Rattus norvegicus: one gene and its partner. The main gene of each other region encodes a partner of the protein of the gene in region 2 in a complex. Links are inferred from orthologs where the notes say so. Each region holds a gene or a part of one and is shown on either strand. Other genes may lie near its edges. The genes, in order: Tnni3 and Tnnt2.

Region 1 (4,301 bases), on a different chromosome or scaffold from region 2:
CACCTCTAGTCCCGCCCATGCACTTCCTGTCTCCCTCTTGTACTTCCTGTTTCCCCTTGCATCTCCAGTCACCCCCATGCACCTGCAGTCTTCCCAAGTGCTTCCAGTTTCCCTCCTGTACTCTCCTCAAGCACCTCCACTCACCCCCATACACTTCCTGTCTCCTCCAAGCACTTCTTGTCTCCCTCATGCACCTCCAGTCTCTTTGCACTTCCTGCCCCTTGCTACTTCTTCTCTCCCTAATGAACTGTCCTCCCTTCTGAGTTCTTGAGTTCCCTTTATCCGTAGCTTCTCACTAGAACCCCAAATGTGTCTGCTCTCTGTCTGGACCTTATGGCCACTCAGACCTTCCCAAGCATCTTCCTTCTTACCCTAGCCCACACTCACCTTCTCAATGTCCTCCTTCTTCACCTGCTTGAGGTGGGCCCTCAGGTCCAAGGATTCCTTGGCCCGGGTCCCCAGTAGTGCCTGCATCATGGCATCTGCTGAGATTCTCACTCTTCGGAGAGTGGGCCGCTTAAACTTGCCACGCAGGTCATAGATCTTCTGGGTCAGATCTGCAATCTGGGAACCACCATATGGGGCAAGGAGACCGCGTCTTCCCTCTGCTTCCTCCCTACCCATAGCTTCTAACAAACAATTCCCCCTTATCCCTATCTTGCTCTCAGTATCTAAGCTTCCTCCTCTCTTCCAGCTCTGACTCCAGATTAAAGGCTCCAATCTGCAACTTTGTGCTCTTCCTGATACTCCGAGTCCCATCAATCAAAGCCTCTAACACGACCTGGCCCAATGATGTGCAGATCATTATTCCCAGAGCCCAACTCAGTGCTCAGTTTCTACAGACCGATTTAAGCCACCCAGGTTCTACCTTGCACGTGTTGTCTCTCTGTGGGAACAGCTGCCTTTGCCACTGCCTGCCTTCTGCTTAGAGTTGTCTAAAGTACACACAGACATAGCCCTCAGTCTGAAGCTACAGTCCTGGACATCTCGGTCTACAGTGAAGGTGCTCAGACTTCCCCAGGCTTCCCACCTCAGTGATGTTCTTGGTGACTTTTGCTTCCACGTCGTATCTCTCTTCATCCACTTTGTCCACACGAGCGTGAAGCTGCCGGCATAGGTCCTGGTGAAGGAATGCATGGGCGTTGAGAGGAAGGCTGGAGACTCAGGTCTCTGATCTGAGAAAGGAGACCTCCCGGTCTGAGGAAGGAGGCCTAGGCTCTGGACCCCTGAGTTTGAGAGAGGAGTGCTGGGGTCTGGACTCCTGAGTCTGAAGAAGGAGGGGGTGAAAGGAAGCTGACACTGGAATCCGCACTCTAGGGAACTTAAAAAAAAAAATGGCCAGGAGCCAAGAATTCTGAGACTTAGCAGACAAAGGCAGGAAAAATACACTGGATTTTGAATTGTAAGACTGAATGTATAGCTTGGCATAAGGATTGCAGATCCTGAGCAGAACTGGGGATGGTTCTTGTGCTCCTGATACCCAAGAGATGCCAGGGCCGAGATGAGAAACATCGGGACCCAGGCTCATCAGGAATTCCTGCTTGGTAAACTGATACCTGAAGCTCTTCAAAGCCCAGCCCATCCAACACCAAGGGCTGGCAACGCGTGCTCAGAACGCGGCCCTTCTCTCCACGTCGCTCCTCTGCCTCACGCTCCATCTCCTGCTTCGCAATCTGCAGCATCAGAGTCTGCGGAATGGTGGGAGCCGAAAACAGGGTCCCCGAAAGTATAAGAATAACAAATTTCCCTCTATCTCGCTATCTTCCAGAGAGACAGAATATCCAAACATCCAAGTTTGTGTCTTTTATTAAAAAAAAAAAACCTTCCCCGTTTCTGTGTTCTGTGCACGCGCACGTGTGTGTGTGTGTGTGTGTGTGTGTGTGTGTGTGTGTGTGTGTAGGGGGACTGACGCACTCCGAAACGAAACCACTCCCCAAAAGCTCCGCCCACCAAGGCCCACCCCTCCGAGCTCTTCATCACCTTCAACTGAAGTTTTCTGGAGGCGGAGATCTTAGACTTTTTCTGCCAGGGTGATAGGGAGAAAGGTCAGTGAGAGGTCCCAAAGTGGACATTGGGCGGGGCTGCAAGGCACCACCACCCACTCAAGTGCATAACCATTCGGCTCACCCATTCTTCAACCAGAATGCTGAGTCCACTGGAAGCCACGTCCTTCGGTCCCATCCACCAATCTTTGTCTCTGACTAGAGCTACACACTGCCTATCTATCCACTGCTAATCACCGTGCTCACGCCTATGCCTTGCTGTAGGCAGAGGAGTTTCTCCCACAGGCAGCTGTCACCAACCCCAACCTGTACCTCTTTGAAATTCTGCCCCACCCATCGGGCTCCACCCCTTTCCAAGGCCTTGGTGCCGCCCCTGGGGTCCCAGAGGATTCTGAACCCAGAAGTACCGTCCTCTAGGACCCCTCCCCACCTTGGCATGTGGCTCGGTGGCATAGGCTCGGTAGTTGGCCGAGGAGCGACGTCGGACAGGAGCAGGCGCCGGCTGGGGTTCCCCAGCCTGAAATTGAAGCAGGCTACATTACTACCCCAACCCTCCCATCCAGTCCTTCCCGGATTCCTCACCTCTAGCTGCAGATTCCCCTGCCCATCGGTCCCCAGTCCTCTCCCTGCAGCACCCTCTCTGGGCCACGGGTTCCCTACCCCACTTCTTAGGTCACAGTGCTCACCGCATCGCTGCTCCTGAAGGGAGAGAAACCGTGAAGATAGAATCATTGACAGCAGTCCTCCTGAACAAGGTTGGGGCTACCTTTTCTACTCCCTTAGACCCCAGGAGTCTGATTCCCGAATTCTTACCTCATTTCTACAGAAATCCAACCACCCTTGCCTCCTACCATCTCAGGACAAGAATTCAACCTAGTTGCACCCTCACAAGGACCCTGAAGGCTGACTGCACCGTGTTCCTTGGGGTCTCCAGTTCAAGGTTACCAAGGTTCACATACTCATCCGCCATGCTGATCTCCAGAGGTAGAGAATGGGATTGCAGATTCCTGGAGGGTCTTAGAAGGGTGTCCCTGGTGACCTTGGAGGGTTGGGTCCCCTCTGTGCTGCTCAAGCCTCACTGAGGACACTGAGATAAGGGGCGAGGACAAAGACTAAATATACTGCTGTCTCCTCCCCTTCCCAGGATGAGCGATAACAGGGTGTGAGGGGAGCCGTGTGCAAAGCTCCAGTTAGACCAACCAAGGTGCCCGGATCTACACCCCTCCTCCTTTTGACTCTGGGCCCCAGCTCCCTTCTCCTTTAGACTCAGGAAAACCCAGTAGCAAGGTCCCTCTTCTCTCAAATCCAAGAGTCCAGACTTCAGTTTCCTGTGTAGATTACCCAAAAATCCAGGCCTTCCTTCTTTCCTCACATGTAGGTTCCTCACTAAAATGTAGTCTTTCTGTGACTTTTCTCTCCATGTTTCTGTCAGTTTCACTGCCCTTAGCATGTTTAGTTTAAAGGTTCATGTGCAGGACCCTAAGTCCTCAGCCTACACTGATGTGAAATTCAGCCAAGTCCACTTGGAAACCCACCATCCGGGGCCCATCCCCCCTTGTCCCACCCCCTTCTTGGCACTGGAGACCAACAGAGGACAGGACACACAGAGGTGACCCTGCGCTCTTTATTTGAACCGCATCCAAGGGAGGATATGTCCTTGTCCCTCCAACAGTAGCATGTCAAGAAAGGCCCAAGGCAAAAGAGGATGTGGAGCCCAGGGTTGTACCTCTGGCCTGGGATTCTTGTCAGGATAAATCTTAGATTATGATCTAAGACACACACACCCCAAAAAAGACTAGAACTGAGAGTTCAAGGAAAGGAATTTGAAATTCTAGTTATATCACTGGGGTTGAGAAGGAACGCAGAGTAAAACAGTGGGCTGAGCTGGTGTCAGTCCTGGAGCCTGCTTCAGCAGTTAAAGGTAGGATTCTTGGTCCCCGCGGTTCATGTTACATGTTTTAGAGGTGCAATCGCCGAGGACATTGCCAAAGCTTCCTGGACTGGACTTATCACTTCCGGAGGAGGGGCCAGGTCTGCTTGGGGAGGACTGATTGCTTCTAGAGGCAGGACTACCTCAGCCTGAAGTGGGCTCATCGCCTCTAGAGGTGGAATCTGGTCAGCTCTGGGTGGGCTCATCGCCTCTAGAGATGTGGCCTGGTCAGCCTGGGATAAGCTAATTGCTTCTAGAGAAGGGGTCTGGTCAGCCCGGGTTGGGCTCATCAATTCTAGAGATGGGGACTGGCCAGCCTGGGGTGGGCTCATTTCCTCTAGAGGCAGGGTCTGGTCAGTCTGGGGTGG
Region 2 (3,805 bases):
CCGGCCCCCGCCCCAGCCCCAGCCCCAGCCCCAGCCCCAGCCCCAGCCCCAGCTCCGGCCCCGGCCCCAGCCCCCGCCCCGGCCCGGGCCCCAGCCCCTGCCCGGGCCCGGGACCCACCTCTGGCCCCGGAACCCAGCCCCAGCCCCAGCTCCGGCCCCGGCCCGGACAGCTTCTCTGTGCTCTAAGACGTATGGCTGGCATGCCCATTTGAGGAAAGTAGGTGGTTAGAGGTACAGACTAACAAGGAAGCAGATAATCTCCTCTCTCAGAATGGAATTCTGGGTGTCGTCTAGGTTTCCAGAAACCGATCCCATGCTCCCCATCTAGTGAAGCACCTATGACTGATGGGTCAGGGACAGGGAGAGCACAGACATTTGCCTGGTCTGTAGTCCACAGCCAGTGGTGCCTGGTTAGGCCCAGCCAGAACCAGAACTTATCAGATCCAGTTCCTGTTGGCAAGGAGCATCCACACTGAGAGGCAGGTGGCAGGGGCCCAACAGAGAAGTACCCAACAGGTTGGCAGCTTGAGGCAGGCTGCAGGGGAAGAACAGGGCGAACTGTGGAAGATTGGCACGTACGATCCTGTCTTTGAGAGAAATGAGCTCCTCTTCCTCCTTCTTCCTGTTCTCGAAGTGAGCCTCGATCAGAGTCTGCAGCTCGTTCAGGTCCTTCTCCATGCGCTTCCTGTGGATGTCCTGTGGGGAGGGTCTGCCTGAGAGCCTGCCACGCCCATGAAATGGGCGGGCTCAGTGCAAAAGGTAGTGCCTTGGTTTGGCGCCTGAACCTGAACCTAAACCATCCTGCCAACGGCCAATCAGGAGCTCTTTCGCTCTTAGGAGAGCTCTTGTTATCACCCCCGCCTGCCTCGCTCCCCCACAGAGCCACCACTCACATCAAAGTCCACTCTCTCTCCGTCAGGGATCTTGGGTGGCACCAAGTTGGGCATGAAGAGCCTGCTGCAGAGAGGAATGGAGAGTCAGGGGTCACCAAAGCCACTGGGGATGCGTTCCTGGAGCCTCTGGGGCCTTTGTCCGGCAGGAATGTTCACCTCTGTCATAATGTCCACACCAGTGTCTACCTCACTTGCTCAGACAGCAACCAAGGTAATTTCATTTTGTCCTCTCACTAAATCCCTGGAGGGGACAGTGCTGACCTCCACTAGGAAAACCAAGGCTTAAAACTACACAGTTAGGAAGCAGAAGTACTAAGCTAAGATGGTGTCCCTAGTGGCGCTCTGATCCTTGATTTCCTCATATTTTCATGGGCCTTCAGCTAAAAGGAGATGCTCCAGGATACACAGAGCACCCAGGGACTAACAGGGATATGATTGGTAGGAGCCACTAAAGGCCACGAGGGCACTATGGCGCCATCTGCTGGCAGGATAAACATTGCCAAAGGAAGTGCTCCCTATCTCGATGGCCCTACTCACAGCCACCAGATGTGGTTCCAGGTATGGGCTGAAGCTGCCCTGCTCTGCCCTTTTGCAGCTCCCTGGAGCTGTCATCCCTGGGACATGGCACAGTATCACTGCTTGGTTCCACAACGTTTATGTCACTTCTCCCCTAGGTACCAACCCAGCAAAGAGAGAAGTCGTCCTGTGGCCATGACTAGCCCTTCCCCACTCTGTAGATGACTGTACCTCCCTCCATGTTAGTGTAAATAAAAGGTAGTGAGGTCAAGGCAAAGTTCAGCTCCCATTCCTCCCGTCAGCCAGAGGTTCTTGTGCAGTGCACAACCTGTTCAGCTCTCTGTGGAAGTCTGTGCTAACCACAGCACCTGCGCGTGTGCGAATGCACTCCTATCCCTTCCTGGTCACCCTCCCTCACTGGCCTCACTGGGCATAGATAAGGCATCCTGCTCACCTGGGCTTGGGTTTGGAGTCCTCTACTGGACCATCTGGAGGAGAGAGAAGGGTGTATGGGGTCAGAAAACCTGAATATTGCCAGCTCCACCCTGAGCTGGACACCTGTGGGCCTCTGTCTCCCTATCTGCACAGGAGGCCTCTCCTGTAAGTCTAGACTTCCATAATCACCAACAGGCATGAAGGTGACCTGGAGGTAAGGTCACAGAGAATGGCTGGCTGTGTTTACAGGCCCAGGATACTTGCCTGTTCAGGGTTAGGAAGATTACTTCTCAGACATTGCAGTAATGCACAGTCCTGTGGGAAGGCCCCAGGGGCCCTGACCCTAGAATTCCTCTCAGGCCTAATGTTTTGAACCTTGGACTTGCTGATGGCCACAGGGCCAGAAGAGTTAGTGGTCATGATTCCAAGGCTGCCCTCCTGCCCTAGGTATGTGTGACTGGAGACAGCTGACAGAGACTATAGCCTGACCAGGACCATGATGCCACAGCATGGACCATGATGTCTTGGAAGTCGTTCCTCCAAACATCAGACCTCACTGGCATAGCCTGGGTACCAGGAGCGTCAGGTGCGAATGTTACTTCTAAGAGCACTACCCTGCACACGCCAGGGACTAGACACTGGTTCCCTCTCCTGTTGGACACTAAGGCCATTTCTCTGAGATGAAGAAGACAAGGGTTTAGAGTTCCCCAAGCCCTGCACGTACCCCCAAGTTCTGCCTTCCAACCCTTACCTGTATAACTTCTGGTTATACCGGAATCCCTGGGTGGTTTTACCCAAGTCTACTCTGAGGGGTTCTCTCGTGCTGATGCCCAGCATCACTTACCTTCAGCATCTCTGGCTTCTTCATCAGGACCAACCTCTAAACAAAACATGAGCAATCAACAGAGGTCCCGTTCCAGCTCAATTTTCCCCTCAAGAGTGATGGATGTTTCCCATGGTCAGGCAGGCTACCCTGCTGATTTGTATGGTCAACCACCAAAGAAGCTCTGGATTGACAAATTTCAGCCAGACAACAGGCTGCTGCCTCCCAGCCCAGACAGGGATCTCAGGCACACAAGCTAGCAAGCACCTGCTGGACGACTTCTTAAAACACCGGCCCTCCCGGCCCCTCAGCCCCTCACCCTGGGTTGTACCTTCTGCCTTGTCCTCCTCTGCCTCTGCCTCACCCTCGGGATCAGGCTCGGCCTCACCATCCTCCTCCTCCACTGCCTCCTCTTGCTCTGGAGAGGTGAAACAGACACCAAGATCAACCAGGCCCCTCTCTCAACATGCAGACAGCAACCCCAGAACAGAGATCACACCAGGCACGGTAGAACAGAGCCAGTGACATCTGGGTTCACAACATACGGGAGCCACGGACCCAAAGGACAGAAGGAATGCTGCTTGGCTCCTGGTTCAAACTGGATCGCAAAGCCACACCCAGCCCAGGACTATTTCTGCAAAGATCCATATGGCCTCACCCACTCATCTGCACTCTCACCCACGTCTCAACCCCACTCGTAGGTCAGTGCCCCCAGGGACTATGGGCCTGCATGCCCACAGTATTCGCGGTCTGCTCCTTTGCAGGAAAAGTGAAACCCAACAGAAGGGTCCCAGCTGACTGGTAAGTGTCCCAAATTTGCCTCCCTGGGAGTTTGGAAATTTGAGTTCAGTCTTCCCTAGTGTAGATATATAGATAGATATAGATATAGATATAGATATAGATATAGATATAGATATATAGATTATAGATATAGAGATAGAGATAGAAAGGTAGAGAGATAGAGTTACAGATAGATATATAGGTATATAGGTATATAGATATATAGATAAATAGACATGTAGATATATAGATAAATAGATAGATAATAGACATATAGATATATAGATAAATAAATATATAGATATATAGATATATAGACATATAGACATATAGATATATAGGTAAATAGATAAATAGA

The links.
Region 1: the proteins of Tnnt2 (region 2) and Tnni3 are in contact, whole or in part, in a crystal structure (PDB 4Y99), measured with the Homo sapiens proteins. The link is inferred for Rattus norvegicus from reciprocal best matches to the Homo sapiens genes TNNT2 and TNNI3. Residues at the interface, in NP_001263274.1 of Homo sapiens: Glu214, Lys217, Lys218, Ile221, Leu222, Arg225, Arg226, Lys227, Leu229, Ile231, Asp232, Leu234, Asn235, Glu236, Leu239, Arg240, Ala243, Lys244, Leu246, Trp247, Ile250, Tyr251, Leu253, Glu254, Ala255, Glu256, Lys257, Phe258, Asp259, Leu260; in NP_000354.4 of Homo sapiens: Arg68, Glu71, Lys72, Ala75, Leu76, Arg79, Gln81, Pro82, Leu83, Leu85, Leu88, Gly89, Phe90, Leu93, Gln94, Leu96, Arg98, Leu100, His101, Arg103, Val104, Asp105, Val107, Asp108, Glu109, Glu110, Arg111, Tyr112, Asp113, Ile114.

The regions. Positions count from the first base shown.
Region 1 is NC_086019.1:78,341,347-78,345,647, reverse strand, and holds the start of Tnni3 (troponin I, cardiac muscle), read right to left. Parts: upstream 3,078-4,301; 5' UTR 2,974-3,077; coding exon 2,963-2,973; exon of another isoform or gene 2,858-2,962; coding exon of another isoform or gene 2,817-2,857; intron 2,703-2,816; coding exon 2,690-2,702; intron 2,521-2,689; coding exon 2,434-2,520; intron 2,347-2,433; exon of another isoform or gene 2,182-2,346; coding exon of another isoform or gene 2,128-2,181; intron 2,023-2,127; coding exon 1,981-2,022; intron 1,689-1,980; coding exon 1,557-1,688; intron 1,121-1,556; coding exon 1,031-1,120; intron 565-1,030; coding exon 388-564; intron 1-387. Other genes in the region: Dnaaf3 (dynein axonemal assembly factor 3), read right to left, coding at 3,948-4,301. UniProt on the Homo sapiens protein: Troponin I is the inhibitory subunit of troponin, the thin filament regulatory complex which confers calcium-sensitivity to striated muscle actomyosin ATPase activity.
Region 2 is NC_086031.1:49,829,013-49,832,817, reverse strand, and holds part of Tnnt2 (troponin T, cardiac muscle), read right to left. Parts: intron 3,128-3,805; exon of another isoform or gene 3,086-3,127; coding exon 2,999-3,085; intron 2,725-2,998; coding exon 2,689-2,724; intron 1,898-2,688; coding exon 1,864-1,897; intron 958-1,863; coding exon 894-957; intron 697-893; coding exon 580-696; intron 1-579. UniProt on the Homo sapiens protein: Troponin T is the tropomyosin-binding subunit of troponin, the thin filament regulatory complex which confers calcium-sensitivity to striated muscle actomyosin ATPase activity.